Linked DNA regions of Mytilus edulis. The protein of the gene in region 2 purifies or fractionates together with the protein of the main gene of each other region. This does not show direct contact. Links are inferred from orthologs where the notes say so. Each region holds a gene or a part of one and is shown on either strand. Other genes may lie near its edges.

Region 1 (3,761 bases), on a different chromosome or scaffold from region 2:
GTAACAATAATATTACAATTATTGTTACATTAGAGGCTAATTACCGGAATGCAGGGTTGGGTAAGGAACCGATTAATTACGAATGTAACAATAATATATGGGTCCACGGTTACATTGCGTTATTGTTATGTACTAGATAATAATAATTATATTGTTTTTCAAAAACTTTTTAAGTATTGATTGTTTTGATGTTGTTAAAGAAACTACTATAGTTTAATGGCACTAAATTGATGAATACTTAATGAACTAGCTGTTTAATAGAGCATTTATTTTCACCAAAAAGAACGAAACTACGATTACAAAATATCTGGAGTCTGAAAATGAAAACATTGTTTCCACCATTTTCAACCTGTCGGCGAATTTCAACATTAGTTGCTTTCACAGTTGACTTGTATTTAAACAACCTTTGACAAGCTTCCAACAAAATAATTGGTCGAAAATATAAAAATTTCAAGCGTAAAAAAAAATCACCTGCAGGATAGCAGACATTGAAAGTTTCTTTAACCTAAAAAAAGAAGAGGTGCAGAATGGAATGCAATACATGGAGCATGCACATTGTCGAATCACTTATTTGTGATGGCTGTTTAGAGGGGTTTCACAAAAAAAATGCGTCGGACTTAAAGGCTAAAACATACTAAATACAACAACATACTGGATTTGTAGAAACAGTCATTGTAAATAAAAAATTGAAATATTGTATGCATGCAATATTTAAATATCAAATACAACTTTTCAAGTTTCATTCTAATACTTATCACTATATATAGGCCCATCGTACATTAGAACTAGGGTACATCACAGTCTTTAATCACGGTAACAATAACGCAGGGTAACTGTAGACCGAAATATTATTGTTATATTCGTAATTAATCGGTTCCTTATCCAAACCTGCATTCCGGCAATTAGTCTCCAATGTAACCGTAGCCAGTGCCTTTCTTTTTCCCCCGGAAATTATCCGTCACCAAAAATTAAACCAGGTATTACTTTTTAAGGCAATCCCACAAACGTTTTGATTACGAAAAATGGCAGCCCCCATGTAAAAATTTAGTAGTGGCTGTTTATGTTTATTTCAGACGTATTTTGAGGAATTGAAATCCAGATAATTGGTAAAATTACAACAATTTGGCATAATCATAATGTAAATATTTAAGTTTTGACTCGAAAGTTTATTTGTTGTGCTAGCTGTTGTAGACCTTTAGTTATAAAGGTGGTCTAACTTAGTAACTAGTTGAGTTAGGGAAGATCCTCTTCTTTGGCTCAATTGGTTAGAGCGTTGCCTTAATATCCCAAGATTGAGGGTTCGAATCCCGTTGGTACCATCCATAGATTTTCATAACATAGCTTTTTGAAGGTTTTATTCCTTGTTTGAACAATTTATACCTTAATATAAATATAAAAATTTTAATATATACGGAGACGTTGGAGTGATTGCACTTTGTTAGTATTGTATAACTTACAATTTAAGTTCATTTATATGTTTTGGAGTTGAGTATGAGCTCAATTTTCACTGAACTAGCATACATTTTTGTTAACAGTGGAGTCCCCGGTGTCCGCGCCTCCCGTGATATCGCGCATTAGCTGATTTCGTCTTATATTTATATCAACACATTAAAACATACAAAATCATTCTTGTTATTGTTTTAGCCTTCCGAAGGGATAAAAAAGAATAAAATTGATAAGTTCAAGAATTAATAATAACTGCAATTCCGTGATTTACCACATTTGGTTAATTTCCATTTAAAAAGTTACATCATCAGATAAAATTTGTTATATTTAACCCTTTCCTCCATTATGACGCTTTTTGACGCCACCCCCTTTACTCCATAATGACGCCTTTTGACGTCTGTGTAGTACCTCAGTTGAAATGCTTTGACTACAAAATGTCTGCATCAGACTTTAAACAGTTTGTATCCAATATGAAAAGAATATTTATGAGAATATCTGACTTGAATTTCATTGATGAAATATTCGTTTTCACAATGCATAAATACTTTAAACCTGATGATTTTTTTTATTGAAAAAAATCCTTATGCGAATCAAGTTTGTGAAGAAAAAAAATCCATGGAGGAAAGGGTTAAGTCATATTAATATCAGATTGAAATAATTTTTGCTCTGCATCCTTGGAAGTGTGTTTGGTACAAACTCAGCTATATTTCGTAGTATAAAATCTTTTTTATTCCAAATAAGCTATTTTTTTGAAGGCATGCGCGAAATCACCAGACATTAAAGGAACTCTCAGAACAGGGGTTTCCCTAATTTTGGACACACATTACACAAAATCTAGAGGATGAAACCATACAAACAAAAGATTTTATGAAATAAAAGTATGTTATGAATGTGTTCATGAATGAACATGTATGAATGCGGATACTCCGGACTGCACCATACATGATTTAGCAGGATAGCTGAATCTGCCTCCAGGTGAGGATTTTCTCGTGATATTGAAGACCAATTGGTCAGGTGTTTATCAGCTGTTTTCTGCTCTTTGATCGGGTTGTTGTCACTTTGGTACATTATGATGATTCCCTATTCCATTCTCAATTGTATGTATAGTAATGCAATAAACATTTACACAAGTGACAATACTTTATATAATAGACATGGGGTAACACAAATGACAGAATAACACCATTATTATCTGAATAACACTTGTAATAACTAAATAACACTTGAAATTTTAGTATTAGCACATATTCATGATATTGGTGACTTTTAAACATTCATGATTGATTATCAAATAATATTACATTATAAGAGTATTTTATACATGTAACTTAAAAATGATTTACAGAAAACAGGTAAGTTCATAAAGATCTTTATAAAGTTTATATACATTTAGTGTGTACATGATCAGCCAACATGGCGACCAAGGATATCATAACGGTTGCCATGTTGGATTTACACACTATAGAAGAAGAAGATGCTTTATTTCCATCAAATGGGCTCACAAGGAGCATAATATAACATCATTATATATTTATTACACCTCGATCACCACATAAAAAAGGTTAATCAGTATAGTTCAGTTGGAATACTGAAAATTAGACATGTACATGTTCTAATAGATTTCAGTCATGCACATTTATATTTTTTGTATTTTAGTTCTAAGTTTTTGAGAAACAGTTAAACAAGATGTCTCTAGCAGATGAACTTCTAGCAGATTACGAAGAGGCAGGAGGGGAGGCAATAGAAGATGAAGCTGATATTGAAATGACTGATATTTCTGAAGTGGCTGAAGTCTCTGAAGAAGTTGACTTCTCAACAAAGGACTCTGTTAGATCTGTAGCAAAACTAAGGGATAGCCAAAAGGTATACAACTTTATATGATGACTGAAGCTCCTTAAAATCCACCCAATCAGCAGGCTACAATTTACTTCTTTGTTCTCAAAAACCACAAATGTAGTTTCAGTTTAAATCATTATTTAATATATGCCGTTAGCTACTATATATTACATTGAAATATTTGATAAGCATAGGAAACCAACTGACCTCAAATGAATTTTTATGTATGCACATATATAGCTGTTTCATAGTGTGGAGCTAAATAGGTTCAGTTCAAGTTAGGCATACATTGTAATGATTTTAAACATCCACAAATGCCTACCTTCTTGTTTCTATTTAACATATTTATTTATATCCCACATTTTGATATGATCTGACCTGAACAATTTGCTGTTAAAATCTGCCGGTACATGTAGAACCGTAGAAGCTACTTTGACATACTTATTTGACTGTAAGCAAATAATTTGTGGTAATAAATA
Region 2 (3,761 bases):
TTTGTGGATCAAATCAGTCAATCAATCAATTGATTGTAAAAAAGAAGATGTGGTATGATTGCCAATGAGACAACTCTCCACAAGAGACCAAATATTACAGATATTAACAAATATAGGTCACCGTACGGCCTTCAACAATGACCGGCAAAGCCCATACCGCATAGTCAGCGATAAAATGCCCCGAAATGACAATTCAAACGAGAAAACTCGCGCGGCATAATTTATGTACAAAAAATGAACGAAAAACATAACACATATATAAACAAACGACAACCACTGAATTACAGGCCCCTGGTCGTCGGGACAGACACAAACATACAGAATGTGGAGGGGTTAGACATGTTAATGGGATCCCAATCCTCCCCTTACCTGGGACAGTAGTGTAACAGTACAACATAAAAAACGAACTATAAAAACCAGTTGAAAAGGCTTAACTCATCAGATGGATAAAAATCAGTACAAATAAGTATTACAAATACAAGTAGAAACCTTTGTTATCTTTCATGTTAACATTTTTTCCCTTTATAAAATAAATTTACAAGCAAAATTCATGCGTTATCCATCTTTTGCTAAGGGGTTAAATTGAAGTTTACATGAATACGGATTAAATGAGGTTGAATTATTCACTTGCAACTGAGTGAATAATTCATCATAGTGCCCCTTTAACCGCGAATAAAATAAAACAAAAACAATGTAAAAACAGTAAAAAAAAAAACTTAGATTAGAATAACACAGTAAGGTTATAGTTCTAGAAAAAAAATAAACAGAAATCAAAATCTACAAAACAAATGCCGATGTGGGCACTTTTCTACATTGGCTAGAAGGTATAGGGGGAGGGGGGGGATCTCATAAACATGTTTAACCCCGCCGCAATTTTGCGCCTGTCCCAAGTAAGGAGCCTTTGGCCTTTGTTAGTCTTGTATGATTTTTGATTTTAGTTTCTTGTGTATAATTCGGAGTTTAGTATGACGTCCATTATCACTGTACTAGTCATGATACATATTTTTAGGGGCCAGCTGAAGGACACCTACGGGTGCGGGAATTCTCGCTACATTGAAGACTGGTGGCCTTCGGCTGTTGTTTGCTCTATGCCGGGTTGTTGTCGCTTTGACACATTCCCCATTTCCTTTCTCAATTTTGGAGTTTGTTTGAGACTCCGAGATTTCACGCACATTGTTTGTAAATTAAAGTCTTCCATTTATTCATCAATAGACCAGCAAAATGGCTGCAACAACAAGAGAAGGTCCGTATACTATTTCCCCACTTCTCCCCTAGAAAACTTATATGAAACAACCTCAAATGTAGCAATATGACATTTTAATTAAATTTACATATAAGTAAACATCCACACACGTGGCTTTGTGTTGCAACGTATAATGGAACACATGTGTGTTAAAAGGTTCAAGATTTTATTTTCGAATTCTTGAATCTTGTCATACTACATTGTTCTTAGCAGTTCTTTTTCATAGTGGCTGTCTCGATCCATATCCAATACTATTTTAACTCATTGTGAATTAGAGAGAATCTTTACCTTCAGAAGATATGCTGCCCAACAGGGCTGATAACACGTTTCGGTCGCATAAGTTATAACCAGTTCAGCCATAGGTCATTTCGGCTGTAGAACTAGTTTTGCAATAGTCCATTCAGCCACACTAATTTTTCCATTAATACATGCATCATGTATGTTCTGAAAAGGAATATTATTTAAGTCATTTAGTTACAATAAGTTGAACAAGTGTAAAAAATTGCTTGTCTCCACCAGGACTCGAAACACAGGACCTTAGTCTTTAGTCTTTAGTAAGTGTCCCAAATGACACTGTAAACACTTGTGTACGTTTCCTCTTTTGTAGTTTCTTCACATATGTAATGTTTCAGTTTGTGTAACAAGGAAGCACTTATGGCTGACTAAATGTCTACCACATTTATGAACGAAAGCAATCCTGTCACACTTCCCCCACCTCAAGAGTCATCATACCATTATGACTCTCACACACATTCCCTAGCTAGAATGACTCTCTAACCACCTATATTATGTATAACATCATCATATCGGCACTAGTATAAGCACAAGAATACTATGAAAAGAAAAGGTGCCTTTGCAAGAGTATAACAACTACTGTGGAACTAAAAGCTATAACAAATGTAGTGCAAAGCAAATTTCAACTCATATCAAATTTTGATTATTAATTCCAACAGAATTAGGGTTAAATTAAAACATTTTAACCAGCCTGAAAAAAAACCCATGACTAGGCCTAAAATAAAATATTGTTTGTTTCCCCAATCCCAACCGACCCTGCAAAAACAGTGCTACTCATAAAATTTTATTGTCAAATTTAAGTCAAATATTATTTTATTCATTTCCTATTTTCAGGCTTGCAGGATCGTCCAATGTTGTTCAAGCTTTTTGGAAAAAATAAAATTATTTCCCTACCTTCCGACCCACACCTGGCTTGGCAGGGTCAGGATTGGGGAAACAAACAATATATTAATTTAGGCCCTAGTTATTAACGTTTTAATTTATGAAAAGAACTCAATCAACATAATCAATGTTGCATTGCAGTAGTAGTACATGTAAATGAAGAGAGATCTTAAAGATCATACCATTGAAGAAATTGATAACTTCAAGAATCAGTTAATTCAAATGACCAATGAGTCAGATATGAATTTTCTGGCTCTACTAAAGAAAGTTTTTAACAACCTTGACTGGCTACACAGCCCTTGCACGGTCAGAATTCTGGCTCCGTATTAATCCATATACTTGTAGAAATCAGAATGTGATATCCCTTTTCTAATAGGTATTCCACAGATACAACCAATTAAAAAAAAAAGATCTGTCTCTTTAAAATAATTAAGTAAAATAAGGGCATGAAGGGGATGTGGCATCATGGACATAGTTTCTTAAAGTTGAAAATTCAGCTTTTATTTAATTAAAATTTATATAAAAAAAAAGATGAAGTATGACTGCCAATGAGACAACTCTGCACCAGAGACTAAATGACATACAAAATTAACTACTTAGTGAAAAAATTAAAAAACTTAACTATGTTGAATTGCATCAAATAAAAAGGGGTAAGTCCAAGAAATCCCACTGACAATATGAACTATCCATTTAAAAACCCTACTCAAATATTAACATACAAATGATTCAAAATTAAAATGGAGATATTTATTTCAGAAATTGAAGAACAAGTACGAAATCTTCAACAAAAGAAAAAGAAGCTCCAAGATGGAGGGGCAGATGAAGAAGATGAGGCAAATAAAGTTGGTTTGGGAGCAGAAGGCCATTATGATACAGATATTTACAGTGCACATGGGAAGTTTGAAGGATATGTCACATCTATTGCTCCAAATGAAGAATTAGATGTAAGCAATATGTTTTTCTTCAAAAAAAGTTTTGATTTGAACATAAAGCAGTTTTATTGAAAGTTGGTTATGTGTTTTTTTATAATATAGGTAAGCTTTATAGAGCTTTTAACCTAACAAATACTCTTTAGTTTTTATTAATGAATTTACAGCTTTGTATGAATGTACATGTACACAATTTAAAAAGGATGATGGTAGAATATACTAAAGCAGATATCATATCAATTTTATGGTGATAAGGAATTCAAATTGTGTAACTTTCTAATAGCTGATCAAAGCTCCAGATAAGCTGCGTATTTGCGTGATCACGCAATACAAAGAATAAAAAACCCAATGCAATTGCCCATTGCAGGGTTCAATAACCCAATTAATTCAAAGGAAAACCCAATAATATGCCA

The links. The genes of interacting proteins can lie anywhere in the genome.
Region 1: the proteins of splicing factor 3B subunit 1-like (region 2) and U4/U6 small nuclear ribonucleoprotein Prp31-like fractionate together in Homo sapiens (co-fractionation; 3 studies listed by BioGRID and IntAct, with this or other methods). This does not show direct contact. The link is inferred for Mytilus edulis from reciprocal best matches to the Homo sapiens genes SF3B1 and PRPF31.

What each region holds. Positions count from the first base shown.
Region 1 is NC_092352.1:66,095,337-66,099,097, forward strand, and holds the start of U4/U6 small nuclear ribonucleoprotein Prp31-like, read left to right. Parts: upstream 1-976; 5' UTR 977-1,106; exon of another isoform or gene 1,107-1,138; intron 1,139-3,102; 5' UTR 3,103-3,132; coding exon 3,133-3,309; intron 3,310-3,761. UniProt on the Homo sapiens protein: Involved in pre-mRNA splicing as component of the spliceosome. Required for the assembly of the U4/U5/U6 tri-snRNP complex, one of the building blocks of the spliceosome.
Region 2 is NC_092345.1:84,716,345-84,720,105, reverse strand, and holds the start of splicing factor 3B subunit 1-like, read left to right. Parts: upstream 1-1,115; 5' UTR 1,116-1,221; coding exon 1,222-1,243; intron 1,244-3,175; coding exon 3,176-3,363; intron 3,364-3,761. UniProt on the Homo sapiens protein: Component of the 17S U2 SnRNP complex of the spliceosome, a large ribonucleoprotein complex that removes introns from transcribed pre-mRNAs.